Linked DNA regions of Lonchura striata. The protein of the gene in region 2 binds, or shares a complex with, the protein of the main gene of each other region. Links are inferred from orthologs where the notes say so. Each region holds a gene or a part of one and is shown on either strand. Other genes may lie near its edges. The genes, in order: KIFBP and KIF18A.

Region 1 (9,563 bases), on a different chromosome or scaffold from region 2:
GTGTCTCAGATTAACATAGGTTTCTTGTTTCTTTCCCAAACAGCACTTGGCCATACAGTGTCGCTCATCTCAGAGGGCAGGAGTTCTTGGGGACATCATCCAGGTCTACAGTGGCAGCCATGGGCGGACCATTGTCTTTTGTGAGACCAAAAAGGAAGCAAATGAGTTGGCTATGAATGCTTCTCTCAAACAGGTACCAGAGCTGAGTGGTTGGGATTGCCAGGCGTTGAATGCCCTGAAGTAAATAGGAGGTTGCAACTGTGTAGAGAAAATTGTTCCTGTGCATGATTTTAAGACTTGTTTCTAAAAATTCAGCTTTGAAGTTAAAATATCCTCGTGACAGAGATGATGAATTTATTCCTTTGGCTTTAAATTAGTGTAGGAATGGATCAATAGGAAATACACAGCCTATGCTGAATAACCAGGAGATAGTACTAATTGCAAGAAACAGGAGCTAGTGTAGTGGACAAGTCCCATCTTGTGTTAATGTGCTTTTTGGATTCCCATTTATTAATGGCATTTGGTCTTTGAACAGTCATTTAGGAAAATCCAATATGGTAGAATGAGATGTCTTGTTGCCCTTGGAAGGTTTACCAAAGTGATCTGTTGAGCAAGTCTTTCGTGCTTGCTTGAATTACTGCCCTTTTTCTGAATGTGAGGAAAAGTGCTGCATAATTCTCAGAGAAAATCCTGTTTGATAATAAATGTTGATTTATGGAGAGTAAAAGTGATGGGAATACATGGTTTGCCTATGTACCATCCGCAATAAAAAATTGCAGCAATAATTTCTGCTTGTTGGCCATGCTGCTTTCACAGTAAATCCCAGAGAAGGATCAAATAAAGTAGGATGCTTTATATTCCTTTGGTATCAGCTATGTAATTATTTTCTGTTGCTGTGCACAGTGTTTTGAGGTTTGCAGTTACTCTTTAGATGCTGCAGCCTAGACTCCCATTAAATGTCATGTTAATGGCTTGTTTTATTGACAGGATGCCCAGTCCTTGCATGGTGACATTCCACAGAAACAGAGAGAAATCACATTAAAAGGCTTCAGAAATGGTGTGTTCGAAGTGCTGATTGCAACAAATGTAGCTGCCCGTGGTTTGGATATTCCTGAGGTTGACCTTGTTATACAGTGCTCACCACCAAAAGTAAGTCATTAGAGGAAACTAAAATTGGATTAGCTTTATTTTGGTGCCAGAATAGTGGGTTATTCCTTTGTTTCATCAGAAGTATGTTCTGTTCCAATTAATTTTTGAATTAATTAATGTTTTGTAAATGTGAGGCCTAAAATTTCATAGTTACAGTTTTTCAGTTTGAGCTTTGATTAAAGTCTTGGGTTTTGTTTACTCTGGAAACTCACAGGTTTTGACATTGTGAAACTTTCCTGAATTCTTTCTGCATGTTGCTGAGTTTCATAAAAATTCTAAAATATTTTTGCTGCTTTTTTAATCTTTTGCAACTCCAGTGGAACATTTTATTTAGAAAACTTAAAATGTCTGTCAGCAGTGTTTGTTAAAGCTGAGCAGCATACTTTGGGTGGGGGAGCACATGCAATCCTGAGTGGTTTATGTGTAATTGTAAGTTTGGGTATAAACACATAATGTGTCACTCCTTAGGCTTCTGAGTTTGAATTTAGCTTGTGTTTAATCTGAAATGTCAGCAGTTTAAATAACATAGTTTTCTCGTGTTGATCTGAATTTGTGAAGGATGTGGATTCTTACATCCACCGTTCTGGACGCACGGGCCGAGCGGGCCGGACCGGCATCTGCATTTGTTTGTTTCAGAGAAGAGAAGAAGATCTTCTGAAGCAAGTCGAGCACAAAGCGGTGAGTTGTACCTCAGAGCTCTGCTTAAGGAAATGGATCAGCTCCTGAAAGGACCCTGCCACTCTTGGACTTGGTAATCGTGGGTTGCTGAGTCCAGAATGGGAGTGTCCAGTGCCATAAACTAGTAGGCCCAAAGTGCTGATATTTGGTGTTTGTAAATGCTTTTGTGTTGGCCTGTTCTTGCATTGCCTGAGTTTTCCCGTGCAACATGCACTGTGTGCCTTGCATCACAGTGTGCATGTACATTGGAGTGAAGTAACTCCAGATTAACAAAGCTGGGAACTTAAAAGCTTTTTTATCACTTTAGAAATGACTTAATAAAGAGTATGTTGATCTTGCAAACAGTAAGTAGAGATCTCAGTTACATAATTTAGACAGGACTGAATTGTAGACTGCTGAAAATACCTTTGTTTTCTTGATTTCAGGGTATTACCTTTAAGCGTGTGGGTGTTCCCTCTGCTACAGATGTAATTAAAGCTTCAAGTAGTGATGCCAAAAAGTAAGTTTATTTGCCTGTTCTTGAGAAAGATTTAGAGATGTTGTTGCTCTAGATGCTTAAGAGTTTAATGCACAATTTTAAGGGATCAGGCCTACATGTGAGCATGGCTTTGCCTGTGTTGTAGAAGTCAGCTGCTTTGTGTATAGCAAACATAAGATGGTATCAGTAACGCTCTGTGTGCTGAACACAGACATTTTCATAGAACATAATGTTCTCTAAGTTTTTGCAGCAAACGAACCTTTGTTTATAAAATCAGAAATCAGTGACAGAAGAAGGAATTACTATCAAGAGGGGAAGATGATTTTATCTGCTCAGATGACGTGGTGGAAGCAGTGCGCAAAGAGCAATACTTGGTATAATGAGGAGTTATTCTGCAGTAGTGAGGGTGTTTTAGCCCTGACTTTTGTTTCATTATATTATTTCTGAGGGTTGTGGCTCTGTTTACATCATGCAGCTCTGTTTAAATTTGCTGCCCTGTGGTGGAAATTGCCTTGAAGCAGGTTATTATAATTAGTGAGGATTTGACCAGTATAAAGTAGATGATGGGCATGGTATTTGGGTTCACAGTGTACTGAAAAATGATGGGGGGAGTGGTTGTACCAGAAATAGCATTACAGAAGTATCTCTTCTTGGATTCCTATCTTTTTTCCCTCCCTACCTTTTTCAGAAAAGACTGATTTAGGGTATATCTTAAACATGGCTGCCCTTCACAATGGCCTTTTCTTATCTCTTTAAACCCATCTTGTAACTGTGTAGGTTGTTGGAGGCTGTTCCTCCTGCTGCAGTGGACTACTTCAGAAAATCGGCCGAGGAGCTGATAAATGAGAAGGGGGCAGTGGCTGCCCTGGCTGCAGCCCTGGCACACATTTCTGGGGCAGCTCACATCCAGCAGCGCTCCCTGCTCAACTCAACAGCTGTAAGTAATGATGTACCCCTGGTAAAAAGGATGGATGCATGAATTGCTTGTGTTTAGGCCATGTCTGGCATCTCATTCCCAGGCTTTTCCTTCTGGGTTTCTGAATAGCTGTTGTCCCCAGGTTCCTTAGCTGAAATCAGCTGTTCCAGGAGAAACTTAAAATCAGTAAACTTTCTTGTGATGAAAATGGAAAGAATTTCTCCAGAGGCTGAAGTGGCAGAAAACTTTGATGCTCTAAGAGAGTTTAACTAATGACATTTTACAATTAATGACAATTTACAAGCAAATAGATTAGTTTGTGCTATTGTGGTTTCCCCCTTATCAAGAATCTTCTACATTTGTCGTAATGCAAGTACAGCCTGTGATTACCTGATCTGTATTTAGGGAGGATGTGGCCTAGGCCCTTGTGTGGTAACCCCATTTTGCACGTAACTGTCTGATTGAATTGTAATTCTTCTATCACTTTGGGTTTTTTAATCTGTTTTCTAGCAGCAGGTTTGACCACGTTCAGCCTTGATAAACGTTTTTCTCCATTTCCTGCAGGGCTTTGTGACCATGGTGTTGAAGTGTTCAATAGAGATGCATAGCATGCGCTATGCCTGGCGGGGGCTGAAGGAGCAGCTTGGGGAGGAGGTCGATAACAAAGTGTCTGCAATGCGTTTCCTCAAGGGGAAGATGGTAAGGTGGCCCAGCCTTGGCAATGAAGGGATGTGGGGCTTTGTGTGTGTTCACATGTCGCCAGTTTGTGCAGGGATTGAGGCTGGAGTTCTGAAGTATTGGTACAGAATGTTGGTACTGCACTGTCCCTACTCAATCTCATTTCTCAGGAAATGGGTAACCTAGCATGAGTATGCTGTTTATGCATATGCTATTGGGAAAAGAAAAGGCTTTGATATTAGTTGAGGGCTTTAAAAGACTTATTAGATAGTACTCATATATGATGATGCAGGAATTGCCTCCTAAAAAAAAGCATCAGAAATAATATGTAGTGGGATTGGTTACTGAGGCTTTTATTCTTTCATTGTTAATCAGTGCCTCTTTTTGTTTGTTTTTTTAGGGCGTGTGCTTTGATATCCCTGTTGATGAACTAAGTAGTATACAGGTATGTTTGTGTAGCCAGAGCTGGCTTTAAAACCTGGTGATATGAAAACTGGCAATTGCCATATAAGATTGAGTATGGGGTGGTTAGGGAGGTTTGTGGTTTAATAAGAATTTTGCATAGGCAACAGAGTGATTAGAAAGAGCACAGCATAATCATTAGAAAATACCCTGCCATGCCTCTTCTCATTTCCATGATATTACTTGATTTCATTAAACAAAATTCTAAGGTCTTTGGCTTTTCTGTGGTCTGGCCTCTCCAGTGTACTTGAGAATTCACCAGTTTTCTGTTGACTTCATTCTCTCTTGTCCCTTGTGATTGTTTAACCTTTGTCACAGGACTGTGAGGGTCTCCCAGGGGGATCTAATGGCCTGTTTTGGCAGGAGTGGGATTTGTCTGGAAATGCCTTAGCATAAAGTCTGGTTCCATGGGTCTTGTTTCAGGAGCAGTGGAGGGACACGCGGCGCTGGCAGCTGTCGGTGGCCAGTGAGCTGCCTGAGCTGGAGGAGTATCCGCAGGAGGGGGGACGAGGCTTCTCCAGGTTTGGGAACAGCAGGCAAGGAGACTTCAAGAGAAACAGCTGGTTCAAGAGCGGAAATCGGGGACTTCAACAGAGCACTTGATTGATCTCCCCTACAAATAGTGGGACTGAACTGAATTTTATGAGGCAGTAAAAACCTGTTAGCCTCCTCTTTGTCTTTATTCCTTGATAAAGCAACCTTGTCTTTGAGGATGGCGAAAAATCATGTTTGCTGAAATGGCTGGGTGTTGTGTGAGATTTTTTTTTCTGCCCAGCAAAGTAGCTGCTGCCTGTAAGGGCATATGTGACCCAGTGGGTGTGCCTGGAAACTCAGCCCTGCGAGGGACCAGAATTCATCCAAGCACGGACAGTGACCGCTCCGTGGCTCTTCAGCAGCGCTAAAAAATCGAGTTCTGAAATAAATTTTTGTCATAAAAGCTGGCGTCCAGCCTGAGCGGGCGGCGGGCTGGCCGCGCTGCGGGCGCTCCCTCACGGCCCGCCGGGGGCGCGGCCATGGCGGGGCGGGGCGGCGCGCGGGCAGGCGGGAAGATGGCGGCGGGCGCCGGCTGGCCCGCGGTGTGCGAGAAGTTCCGCGCCGCCCGCACGCTCTCGGCCGTGGAGTCCCTCAAGGACCCCGAGACGGAGCCCTACCGCTCCAAGTACAGCGCCCGGGCGCTGCTGCAGGAGGTGAAGCAGCTGCTGAGCGCCGCCGAGGAGGGCGGCGAGGCGGTGCTGGCCGTGCGGCGGGCCGTGCTGGAGTACGAGCTGGGCGTCAACCACACGGACACCGAGGAGCTGTCGGCCGGCGAGGAGCACCTGCAGCGCTGCACGCAGCTGCTGGAGCCGCACCGCCTGTCCCCGGACTGCGTGTCCCTGTACATCCAGGCCCAGGTGGGCTGCAGGCCGCGGGGCTGGGCGCGGGGCTCCGGCGGAGCGGGGCCTGGTGTCTGGGGGCTGGGCCGGCTGCTCTATGCGGGGGACTGTGAGGAGATCCGGGCTCCCGCGTCCTGACAGCTGCTGCTCGTTTAACCGTAATAAACACAGCAGCCCTGGCCTTCAGTTCTTGCCGGAAGGAGTCGTTCGCAAGTGGTGGCCGTTGGAGGGGTGCTTTTCTGTTTTGAGCCTCCTGCTGATGCCTCTGGGCATGCGGAGCATCTGAAATATGGCCTCGTTGAAGCTGGGTGTTGATAGATCAGCGTGCTCTTCTGGACAGGCTGAGACAAAACTTGTAAGAACTGTGCCCGAAAAAATTAGAAAAAGACCTCACTACGTCCAGAATTTGTGATTCCTTAACTCGCTGGTTGTCAGAGTGATGCTGGGGGATGCTTTATTGATGCATTATCCTGAAACAATATATTGTTTGTTTTTCAGCACTGCCTCTTATATTGTAAGCTATTACATTTTGTCCCAGATGGATAAATACAGTTTTGTTGGTGCTTGAAGTAATAATATTTTCTCTTTATTCTGAAGAAGGGAATACTGTTACCAAAATTAGTTCTTGGTGCATGAGGATTCACAGAAGGGCCCGTACTTGATCCTCTGTCATGGTAGCTGGTGGTTAGGTATCTGACTCTAGACCATGAAATAGTTTTCTAGTATATGAAATAGAGCAGTTATTTAGATATCTGTGTCAAAAACGGTTGCCCTAATTAGAGATGGCTCTATAGTGCTTCCTCATCGAACTGTCAAGGAATTGTGGGCTGACATGGAAAGGTGGAAGTGAAAGGATCACTTGTCTTACACTGGTTAAATTGGCTGCGTTGTCTGGGACAGTGAGGTTGCATCTGCTCCTTGTATTTCAGCGTGAGGGTTTGGATACGCTGCTACAATTCTGTTACCCTTGGGAAGGTAAGGAGATTGCTCCAGCTGGAGCAAAATAGCATCTTCCCACACCTTCCTGGGGAGATGTGGCTCAGGACCAGAGATTCCACTGTGCTTCTGAACTGGTGTGCTGGAAGGCAGCTCTTCTCTCTCTCTGTTAGCCCAGAGTCTGCAGGACCTCAGTGCTTCGGGGCCTTCAGGAAGCAGCAGGACGGAGTTTGTTATGCATGTGGAGATGTGGTCCAGCAGCGCTGGCTCTGCTGGTACCTGGCACTGTCCTGAGGGGTGGAGCTGAGCACAGCGCTGGGAAATGAGCCCTCAGCCCAAGGGCTGGAACAGGCTTGAGTACTTACTTTAAACCATTTCTGACTTTAAAGCAGTGATTGCCATCAGTGGAAGTACTTTTCCACCTTGTGAGGTGTCTACACTGTGTTGCCATGGCACTGACTGGCATTTTGTAGGAAGAAGCATTCCTTTTTCCTGCTGGGCCTCTTTTTTAGCCCCACTTCTGATTTCTGAGCTCTTGCATAAGATTGTGTTTCCCAGTCTCTGCCTAATGGAGTCTGGTCTGTTCCACTGCTTGGCCTTCGGCAAAGTGTTTCAGTTCATAAACAACATGGGATGTGCTTTCTTATAAAAATAGTAGAATGGAGTTGAAAGGGGCAGAGGGCTGGCATACAGCTGTACATTCTAATTATTTTGAAGGTTTTTAGGGTTTTTTTTTCTTTTGAGTTTCGTAACAGCACTGCCTAGGATTTAAACTAGCACATCATTAGGATTATTATAAACACCACCTTATTAATAAAATGAGAGGTTTTTTTTGTTAAAGTTGGGTTCAGAGATGCAGTTGCTTTAATTTAATTTTGAAGGCAGTAGTCTATAACCTTTAGACCTCAGAGGTGCTTTTCATCCTTTCCATGGTTCAAATATACAAGCATTCATTCCTAGCATATTTTTTTCTTGTTAATTTTTTCTGTGGAGTCATGTTAACAAAATTCTGATTTCTTGTCTCTTTTTATGACATTTGTCTGTGATGTAAAAGCTGCATGAATTGGATGCAGAACATACTCTGTGGAAAAAGCTCATTATTTGAACACACTAGTCCTTCTCTAGCAGAGTGAACAGAGTAGGATTGAGGTACATTTTTATATGAAATTTTCTGTGTGAAAACTCCCTCCCTTTTGAGCAACTCACAGTGAAATGTGTGGGTACAATTTCTGCCTTTTGAAATCCATGGTATTAGAACACAAATATATATAAGGATGAAGACTGATGAATTGTTTGGAAAAAAATGTGTGATTAAAATGGAATGTGACTATTTTTTTTTTTCTTTTACCTTTAGAACAATCTGGGGATCCTGTGGTCTCAAAGGGATGAAATTGAAACTGCACAAACTTACTTGGAATCTGCAGAAGCCTTGTATAATCAGTACATGAAAGAGGTATTGTGTTAATGTCGTGGCAGGTCTTACTCCCATGTGCCACTTCCAGGTTAAGTAATCCATGAAATAAACATGCAATGGAATTTTGAGTTTCTGTGCTTTATACTGGCTGCTGTGATACTTATGCCAAGTGATACAAGTTGTACTGCAGTATAGGACAAGGCAAATTAGAGCATTACTTGCTAATTTCAAAATAGAAAAAAATTTGCTCAAAAATAATGGTCCCTTTTGAAAGCCCTTTAATAATCCAAAGTTGATGCCTGGTAGAATTTGGATTTTAATGAGGACTATTGTTAAATATTATCTTGGAAATGCAATAAAAATGTCCATTGCTTTCAGTGGGAAAAGGAAATAAAACTAATATTTGCATGGTTTGCTCTGGCTGTGCAGTGTTTTGCAGGGGCAAGTAGTTCAGTTCCATATCCAAGAGGACAATCTCACAGACAGCTAACCCTCTCATGCATATTAAACAACCTTTTGAGCTGTGGATTCTGCTGTGTATACTACAAAGACTTCCTTGTGCTATTTTTAAGCTCTTTGCAAAGCTGTTCCTACACTGACTTGCCTCAGGGGCAGTTCTGGAGTGAGCTAAAAACATTTGTGGCCTTCAAGAAGCAATAGCTGTGTCTCAGGACTGCTGAATAGGTTGGACAGACCTTAGTTTCATGAAGTTACAGGTTCAGGTCAGGTTTTGCCTTGAAATTGGTTTAGATTACTGATTATACTTGTGGAGATTTTTAGATTTTTTAAATTGGTTGGTTACTGGTCTCTTTGTGCCTTTGCAGCCATGCTAGCCTACAGTGATAGGAGAGGTAATGGGTATAGAAGAAAGCCCCACTTGTGCTGAAAAGCTTGTCAGCTTAATTCCTGCCCTCTGGATCAGTTGGGCGAACCAGAGATACTGCATCTCTCTAATTTATTCCTGATGTTCAGCTTTGATATTTATACCCAGCCCCAGCTATTGCATGACTTCCAAAAGCATCTGGCACTTGCTCCAGTTATTATGAAATTAAACTGATGCTATGGTATCGTGGATTAAAGTGCTGCCAGGTACTTCATGTTTGCACTGTAGACTTTTCTGAAAGTAAATTTTTGTTAGTAGTGGTTAGTGAATGCTATTTCTGGGGCTTAGCTGCCTTAATAGGTGTAGTGGTTTTGGTTTGTTAATTTGAGATTTTTTTGGTTAATGTATTAATGAGTGTGGTGGGTTTTAGTGTTGGTTAATTATTAGAGTATTTTTTTCTTGTTGTGAGGTAGGATTAGGAGAAAGGTAAAGTAGGTTTAAAAGTTTAAAATAAAGAAAAATTTATTAACAGTAATTAAAAGAAAGAGTAATAAGAATTAGAGTAAAATTTATAGAATACTTCTCCTTATAACTTTTTTCTTACTGATAATCAATAAATAATCAAAATAAAATAAATAATCAAAATGTAAAATTTT
Region 2 (9,371 bases):
TCTTTTCCTCACAAGACTCAAGGTTTGGGAAGAAGTATGTTCACAGAGCTAGGCAAGCTTAGAATATTGTTTCCTGTCACAGCACGTAACACACACAAAGCTGCAAGAAAATAGGTCCACAGGAATGGATATTCAGATTGGAAAACTAAATTCTATCACTGACCTTACCAAAGAATTGCTGTGCTGGTCTGGAAAAGTAAGTTAACATGGAACTCTTAAAACATGGTTATTTACAAACAAAAACAACCTTTAGACTTCACAGCTGTGTAGAGCACTCCAAGGTGGTAATGAAGGCAATGCCAAGATATTTTAGCCCAAAAACAAATCTTCCAAAATCTGCTGGATAAGCATCAAGTCAATGTACCCTTTTGATATCAAAGACTGAATGCTTCTATATTTTCATTCAACAAGACTAGCAGGTTTTTTTCCACAATGTACTTTTAACTAATTAATTAGATTTTCAAGTTACTGGTGCTTATTGCCAGAAAAAAACCCACTAGGAAATGATCAAATTCCATTAAACTCTCACATAGAACAATGGGAATGTTCTCAAATATCTCAAGCACATTTTAAGTTTCTAGAGATATTTACACACCTGATGCAGTGTCAGACCTTGAACTACCACCCCTTGCTGGCCATCCTCACGAACAGCCAGAGGTCCAGAGTTGACCAGCAGATCACGAATCTGTTCATTGTAAACCTTTGAAAGGAAATGAAAAAGATATTTTTATAAAAATATCTTCCCATAGCTGACAGAATTAAATAAACAGAATTCACCAGTCTTTTTTAATACTCCTTTAGGACAAAGAAAAGAATTCTGGCTATAATTTTTTTACATTTTCCCCATACCAAGCTTAAATATTCAATTCATATGATTTCTTTTTAGATTTTAGGAGTAATTATTTTTAGTAAATAATCTTTATTCTTTATTGAAAAAATTACCTTTTTTTACAAAAAAACAGTTTTGCAACAAGCATGAATGCAAAGCATTTGGTTTTCCCCATTGTGTATCACAATCCCTACTTCAGTGACATTTCTTAGTTCAAACCTACTTCTGTTAAAATTTTTAAATCTCTTATTTCTTGGTCTGTAGAAGCATATGGCAAGGCAAACTTTCCCCATCTCCTTCTACCCCTCCCAAGTACCAACTAGAGTCCATTAAGACACTGAAGGAGCTAAAAAGATAACCATTTGACTAGCACCCTTCAGCAACAGTGCCAAAACATTTATTTGTAAAAACAGAAGACCATTTTGTGGTGCTTTTTCACAGTATTACAGGATGTTACTGTGAAGTCCTAAAATATTACCCTGAAATGATATTTCCTTGTACACATCAACAGATGCTCAGAGGCAAGACACAAATCATGAACAATCAGTAAGTATGGTAGAAGTGGTGTTTTTTGGGCAGCATTCTGTAAAACAGTGATAGGTGCCTAGGAACACAAATCACCAACAAGGAACACCAACAAGGCAGTTCCACTCCTATAAGGACACCTTTTGTCAAGCCCCAGAAAGGACCAGAGGAAAGCAAAACCAGCTTGTCTTTACTTACAAATATGACTTATTCAAAGCAACATATAAAATGCAGGAACTCACCTCCAAATAAGAGACAGCAACATCACATGTTTTATCATCTTTTATTTGATCCATGCGTTTATAAAGTGTGACCATAGTTAAATACATGACTCCAGGATCTTCAGGAGAACCTAACATTGTGTGAGTCTTTCCAGCTCCTGTTGCACCATATGCAAGCACTGAATTTCCCCCAAACAACGACAAAACAAAAACATGTAACTTATTTGTAAGCTAATCAGGAACACCAAAGACAAAAGAACATTTATAGACCTCTGTCATTCTGCACAACTGTTTCATAAATAGATAGTTTCTTACTTAAACTTTACCTTTCAGATCTCTAATTAGAGATGTTTCCAAATAACATTTTCGAATTTTCAGTTCAAAATTCATTCACTGCTACGTCACATAAAAATATTATTTACTTACTCTCATAACCCTAAGCCATCAACTTATTGCTGATAGGCATTTCAATTCCTCACCAGAGTCCAGCAGCCAATTAAAAAGCCCCAAGATCTTAAAGAGTTCATAAAGCAGCTTATGTCATACACTCAGTGACACAACTGCTTCTGCTTGAATAACTCTAGAGGACTCCCATTATCACATATATTTTAGATAAAATTCCCAAGTCTATTATAACCTTAACACAAACTTATTTTTAAAATGGAGTAGAGCTATCTAACTTCTATATGCTAAAATGTCAGCCTTTCATATCTGTGAATTAAATCACAATGCTTTATTTCTATCTCAGGCTTTTTTAACGCTCCTGCAGCTATTGGACAGAATGGTACAAATGTTGAGAAATCCCCGTAAGTTTTTCAATTAAATAAGATAAATAACAAAGTTACCTGTACAGTTATATCCATTTAGGAAGCCATCAATTAGATTTTTGGTAGTATGCTCAAAAACTTCCAACTGGGATGAGCTGTCATCAAAAATGGCATCAAACATGAACTTCAGGTCTTTCCTTTGTCTTTTATTGATATCCCTATGGATCACTCTCCTTCTGCTGAAGAAGCCAACCTCTTCCTCCTTTGGGTCAAAGACCAGCACGTGCTGGTCAATGACACGCACCACCCTGCTGAAGCTGCCCTGCTTTTCTTTCTGGCTCTCTGGCCGGACACGGACCACCACTTTGACATGGCTGCAGACATCTTCCCTGGCTGGAGTCATCCCTCCTGCTCCCCAGCCTCACTGCCAGCACTCGGTCAGATCCAGCAGCTGAATCCTTTCTGCAATTGACACAGAGAACATTTATTTCAATATGAGCCTTCACTCTTTCCAGCCATTCACACATTCGGTCAGGGCCCTGTGCTGGGCCCATCCCTTGTCATGGGACTGCCCCAGGGCAGCGAGGCTTTGGGAAGCTCTGTAAGCGCCCCAAAGGATGACTGAACTCAGCACAGCTCTCAGAAAGCCGACCAGCACTGCCCCAGGGAACTCTGAAGTTCATTTCACAATTCAAATACTCAATGCCCTACAGGCTTCCCTCTATAGCAGACCCAGCTTTCAGACCGGACACCACGTTTCTGTGGGCTAAAGCCAGCAGCCTTTCCCGTGTTGCCCTCCCTGGACAGACACAGCCACGTCGCAGGGAGCGTTGAAGAGCTGAAGCGGGATTTAGGTGAAGGTGCCCGGCACGGGCCGCAGTGACCGACACGAGCGGGATTTCCTCGCATATCCCATTTCTGCGGTTCCCAGCGGCTGCGCTCACCCCAGCGGCGGACACGGCGCAGCTCCCGCTGCCGGCCCAGGGCCGGCTCCTCTCCCGGCCGAGCCGCTGCCGGCCCGCCCGGCTCCGCGGCAGCGCCTGGCCCCGCGGGCCGCTCCTCCCCGGGGCACGGCGCCGGGCCGGGCCCTGCGGCCGGAGCGCTCCAGGGCCGGCCGCAGAGCCGCTGCCGGGCTCCGCCTGCGGCCGGGGCTCCGCTCCCCGTGCCCGGGGCTCGGCCGGCCGTGCCCGGGCCGTGCCCGCTCCCTCGCCGGGCCGTGCCCGCTCCCTCGCTCCGTCTCTCACCGGACCGTGCTCGCTCTCTCGCTCCGTCTCTCGCTCCGTCTCTCCCCGAGCCGTGCTCGCTGTCTCGCTCTGCTCTCCCCGAGCCGTGCCCGCTCTCTCTCTCGCTCTCTCGCTCTGCTCTCCCCGGGCCGTGCCCGCTCTCTCTCTCGCTCTCTCGCTCTCTCGCTCTCTCGCTCTGCTCTCCCCGGGCCGTGCCCGCTCTCTCTCTCGCTCTCTCGCTCCGCTCTCCCCGCGGCCGCACCAGCACCAACCGCCATCCGCCGGCCGCGGGATTCAAACCCGGCCAGGCCGCGCTCCTCGCCTTCCCATTGGCTGTGGCCTGTGACGTCACCGGAGCGCCGGCGGTAAGTGCGTGAGGCCGGGCGCGCGGGGGGCGGCGGCGGGGCCCGCGGGGAGGGAAGAGAGGGCGCGGAGGGAAGGGCGGCCGGCGTGAGGGAAGGGAGGCGCTCCCGGGGCGGCCTCTGCTCCGCGTATCGGTCCGGCCCGGCCCGGCTTGGCCGGGGACAGCCCCCGGCCGCTCCTCCCGCTCGGGCCCGGCGCGGGCCGCGGCCGCTGCCGCTGCTCCGGTCGGCTCTGACCGAAAGTGCTTCGGGCGGGGATTTTGTCCTCGCTGCTTTAGCGCAGGGCCGATCCCAGGGCGGCAGCCTGCAGTGGGGCCCGGTTCCCTTCTGGCGAGCACTGTTAGAGAAATGAAATGAAATCCGGCCGGCGTGCTCGCCGCTGAGATCTCCCGTGGGCAGGAGGCCGTGGCTGTGAGCGGAGTCCCTCGCGTCACCCCCGGGCCGGGCAGGGGATGGTGGCCCTGGTCCCGTTCAGCCGCTCCTCGCCCTCACAGAGGGGCCGGGACAGAAGGGGAAGGGTGGGAAGGCAGAAACAGCGGCTGAGTGGAGAGAGTTTCACGGGGGAGTCAAAGGCTGTGCAGGCAGGCAGAGCAAAACAAGGAATGCCTTCCCCTGGTCCAGCCATCTCCAGGAGAGCGGGGCCCATCGCAGATAACAGTGGTCACTTGGGAACACCAATGCCACCACCCCAGTCGTCCTCTTCCCGCGTTTCTGTCCGGATTACCGTGTCCTTTGGTCTGGAATATCCCTTGGGTGCATCTGGGTCTCCTGCCCAGCTGTGTCTCCTCCGTGCTGTGCCAGCAGAAATCCAAACCAGCCCCAGCTCAGCTGCTGGGGAGAAAATTAACTCCAGCCCGGGCAAAACCAGCAGAGCACACCATGGTCATAGATGTGTTTTCTGTAGGCACACTATGGCTTGTGGTGAAACACACACCTGCGTGTCTGCCCAAAGCTAGAGTGAGGTGCACTTGCAAATTTAAGCTGGGGGAATTACTGTAAAGTCCCTGTAGTCTGTATTGGAAGCAAAGACTACAAATTAGATTTTACCAGTCTACCTCACTGCTCAATGAAAAGTCAGTTCCAGTAAGTCCACACATAAAGAAAATACCTGAAATATGTAATTACTCAAAATACAATATAAAAGTCTCAGAAAAACACTAGATGAGATATTCCTATTTGTGTAAAAAGGTTTGGAGAAATTTCTTAACCCACGCCACTGAATCACCTTTATGTCAGGCTCCATCTGTAGAATTCTTACTCATGTAAATAATATAGGGCTTGAATTCCTGTTTTCTCCAGTGATTTTTAAACCTTTGCATTTCACTTGAAAAAGAGAAAAAGGGAATCTCAGAAGCCTGATTTTGCCATTTCTAGCAGTGTGGAAAGGGGCAGACATAGAAGGAGAGTTTTTTGATTGAAAGAATATGTAAGGTTGTGAGATGACATGAATTTCAGACTTTATCAGTAAAATTAAATGTGTAGTATTTAACATGTATTAAGTCATGCTGCCCATAAGAATATTGGCTATCCAAGAGATTTGTCAATTTTACAATAATAGAACTGCCATAAATGAGACCATAATTAAAACCTTATATTGAAAATTATCTGTTTCTAAATTAGTAAGTGTTGGAATCAAGGATCAGTTTCCCAAAAATTTGCTCGTATCTGAAGCAAAACATGTTGCCTGCTCATTTGTGCAGACAGATAGAAGCTACAGAAGGTAGTAAGTGATGCTATTTAACCCAGCAGGGATGAAACAGTTACTGAAATTGAGAAGAAACGATTTGTGATTTCATGGCCATGCTATCAAAATATCTGAACAGTCACTGTGTGCACCCAGACAGTGGCATTTGGAGTGAAGAGGTGAGGCAAAGACAGGAACAAAAGGCTAGGAAGTGGCGGTGGTTGTGGGCGGGAATTGTTGGAGATCTTTGGGTCAGTTCAGGGGAGCATAACCCTTGAGCCTTGCAGCGTGGCATCAGTGCAGTTTGCCAGAGCAGCTGTACCACCATCCCTGTTCAAACAGCCCACTGACCTCTCCAAGCAGCAGAACAAAGGATTAACACAGCAGAACTGACAGGTAAACCTTCCCATTTCAAGTTAGGCATGTTTCAGTGGAAACGAGGGAACAGAGTTAACAACGAGAACTGAACCCACCTCTCTATGGTCTGAAAGTTGGTGGGGATTCTTCCAAACAGTATAGTCTCCAGTGAGAGACTATTATGTTTCTACACAAGAGTGAGAGGCAGTTATAAATAATTATAGCATATAATATAACATAATATAACATAATATAATAAATATAGCTATATTAACAATATATATTATATAGTTGTATTAGTTTAATATATAATACTAGTATATATAATTCAATATATAGTATTACATACAATAGATATAAATAGATATATATACTATACTTACATATAAAAAATACTATTTATATATAATATTAGCTTTAAGTGTGTATGGTCACACTTTATGGAGTGTGAGACATTTCTGCATGTCCTCTGATAGAGCTAAGGGTAAGAGGTCAGCACATCTATTTTTCTTGGTGAAGGCCTGTTTAAAGAAAAATCTATGTTATGTATGGCAAGACAAATGAGGGTCTTTGCCTAGCATGTGGATTTAGGTTTCCACTTCATTTAATTCTGATGAATTTTTAAATTTCTGTTTATTTTCACAGCCAAAAGCCTGCTTTTATAATATATATCCCATAAAACCTGTCCATAGTCTCTACAGTTCATAATTGAGGAATGAACAGGAAGAGATGAAAGACAGCAAAATAGGTTACTGGGAAACTGATGATCTTTTAAAATAAAATTAGTATATGTTAAATTAAAAGTAAGAGACATTAAAGAGAAAATGCCAAACTGAAATAAAAATGGTCAGTGATGACTAGGAAAGCTATCACATGAGCATAGTAATAAGACATGTAACTGACAATAAAAATGGCTGAGATTAAATAATGGGAAGTGAATTAATGAGAGGAAAATCTGCTACTCTTCCCAAAGGTAGAGCTGGAAGCTAAAGAAACAACTAGTTATTTTAAGTCTTGGAGAATAGGCAGTGGAATTATTGAGGGTGTGAAGAGAGTGTACTGACGTGAAAATAAATTTTGGGAAAACATTACTGAAAATATTAAAGCAAGCTCTTTTATGGCTTCAACAATAAAGATTAAAGCCAGCTTGTCCTGATTTCAAAGTTACCTTCAAGGTTGTACAAGTAGCAATCCCATAGAAAGCCAAATGAATCCGAAAAAATGTAGCCCTTCTCTGGAGAAGAGGCAGGATTGGTGTAGAGAAGGTCACTGGTCCTAGAAGGTCCATCCCCCTTTCTCCTCTGAGCTGCAGAAGGGGAAGTGGAAAATGCAGTTACCTGACAGCTCTACTGCCCAGACAATTGAACTAGTAGCAGATCCAAAAGAAGAAAAAAAAGGTGTCTCATAACAGCCCAGCCCCAGACTGAGCAAGAGCAAAGGACCAAATCCAAATTCCACAAGTATGGAAGACTTGGAAGATTTGAATATTAGTTAATTTAATTTCATGTCATTTAAGATAGCTGTTTCAGGCACGTGTTATTCACATGAAAAAAGTGTTCTGGTGATGGGACTATTAAACCCTCTGTTTTCTATTTCTTATCTGCTGGGGTGTTGTTATTACTAATATTACTGCTACCGAATTCACACTGTAGAAACGTCAAACATAGCAACAGAAATTATGACCCAGGCCATTAAGAGCAGAAAAACAAACTTTCCCTGAAAACAAACATTATTCAAAAATTTTTAAAAATGGATAGAGGGAAGAAGTGAACCTAGACATGTGTTCCACTTCTGCACATAACAGAAATACCAGGAATAAAATTACTAAGAATATGTCCAAAAGGTGTGGTGCTGAAAAAGAGGAGCCATAACTAAATTTTTTTTTCCTGACTTTTGTGATGTCATTTTAAATTTTAGTAACTTAAAAAATGCTTTATTAAAAATATCCTATCAATCACAAACTATCTCACAAGATACCCTCATGATTTTCATACATCATTCTTCCCCCTTACCAATGTTTCCTGCCCTTCTGATATTGTCATCTGAGTGTGGCAACTTGAAGCATTTATGGCAATATGCTGTAGATGCACTCAGGTTAAATAACAAACTGAAAAACCTGAAAGCTTTTTATCCTAACCCAGGCAACTCCATGTGCAGGTGTGTTGGCACAACCAAAACTGCGGCATGGGGTCAGGAGCAATTGTCTAGAAACAAAAGACTAAAACTGGCTTTCTGGCTTAAAAGAAGAAAGGATCCTATCAGAGTATGCAGGTAGGAAGGCTGTATTAAACAGAGATGTAAATAAAAAAAATATAAATATATTATATAAAAAAAGAATCTCTGGCATGTCACAGAAATACTCATGAATAAAAGGAAAAAAAAAATCTTCCTTTATAATGTTAACAGTGATTGTCTAGTATGGCTCTTAAAGTCTGGTTCTTATGCGCAGAATTGGTTAAACAAGAGAAAGAATGGCCTTGGATTCTTGCCCTTTATTGGCCTTGAACATCACTCAGAGAACAAAGATAATAGACTTCTTCACCTTGTCCCCTTCTTTTTGTGAGAAAGGACATCTGCAACATATTTACAGAAAAAAAATGATGCACTATGCAATGAAAAAAACTCTTGATATACGTACATGGTAGATAAAATAATTTGTGGGCTGCAGTTATACTGGAAAAGTTAGCTCTTCAGAAAGGATGATTTGTTGTTTCCTATGCCTGTGTCCTGGTTCTGGACAGGACAGGGTTAATTATTGCAGTAGGCAGGAGAGGCCATGGCCAGAACCCAGAGGCAATTTTATAGCACCTCATGTCATTTTCTGGGCATGGGGAAAGGGTCCTTTCCCAGGGCAGGGCAGAGTGGTGGCAGTCAGATATTGTTTGTGGTAGAATGGTGAGAATTCCCGTGGGAATCCCTCCCCTCCCTTGTGCACTTTTGCTGTTTATTTGTTGGTTACTTTTTATTTTCTTATCCCATTGCATTTCCTGTAAACTGTTCTTACCTCAGCCCCTGATCTTCGCCTTCTGTGCTTCCCATTCTCCTCTCAGTGCCACACAGGAGTGGAGTGAGGCAGGGAAGAGGGAGTGAGCAGTGCATGTATTGGGGTGGTTCCAGTGGGAATACCAAGTTCAGGAGTGCCATTCCAAAACCACAGTGGCCGTGTGTGGTGCCCTGTGTGGGTCATGAAGGGTTGAGGTGACAACAGATCTGCCCAGAGCAGGCTGGAAACAAGCTCACTGTGTTGCTTGGTGTGTCCGTGTGGCCATGGCCCCTGACCCTGTGTATCTTTCCATTCTTGCACTCTGTGCCCACCACAGTGCTCCTTGTCCAAGCAGGGAGAGGAGTCAGGATTGCTGTGCTGTGGAATATCAGTTCATGACCTGGTGACAGCAAGGGCAAT

Evidence for each region.
Region 1: the proteins of KIF18A (region 2) and KIFBP are in contact, whole or in part, in a cryo-EM structure (PDB 7RSI), measured with the Homo sapiens proteins. The link is inferred for Lonchura striata from reciprocal best matches to the Homo sapiens genes KIF18A and KIFBP. Residues at the interface, in NP_112494.3 of Homo sapiens: Glu181, Thr183, Gln184, Lys185, Gly186, Arg274, Phe275, Val276, Glu277, Gly278, Thr279, Asn280, Ile281, Arg283, Ser284, Leu285, Leu288, Gly289, Val291, Ile292, Arg314, Lys317, Asp318, Gly322, Asn323; in NP_056449.1 of Homo sapiens: Ser150, Glu151, Tyr212, Tyr213, Gln216, His220, Gln238, Ile251, Asn252, Thr255, Gln258, Asn262, Gly414, Tyr415, Val459, Asp460, Leu461, Asn462, Pro463, Gln464, Leu467.

What each region holds. Positions count from the first base shown.
Region 1 is NC_134609.1:34,939,754-34,949,316, reverse strand, and holds the start of KIFBP (KIF-binding protein), read left to right. Parts: upstream 1-5,382; 5' UTR 5,383-5,410; coding exon 5,411-5,752; intron 5,753-8,024; coding exon 8,025-8,123; intron 8,124-9,563. Other genes in the region: nucleolar RNA helicase 2, read left to right, coding at 44-193, 988-1,149, 1,708-1,827, 2,253-2,326, 3,083-3,242, 3,786-3,920, 4,300-4,344, 4,785-4,964. UniProt on the Homo sapiens protein: Activator of KIF1B plus-end-directed microtubule motor activity. Required for organization of axonal microtubules, and axonal outgrowth and maintenance during peripheral and central nervous system development.
Region 2 is NC_134608.1:61,992,578-62,001,948, reverse strand, and holds the start of KIF18A (kinesin-like protein KIF18A), read right to left. Parts: upstream 3,742-9,371; 5' UTR 3,587-3,741; intron 2,934-3,586; exon of another isoform or gene 2,805-2,933; 5' UTR 2,746-2,804; coding exon 2,421-2,745; intron 1,755-2,420; coding exon 1,597-1,754; intron 701-1,596; coding exon 596-700; intron 1-595.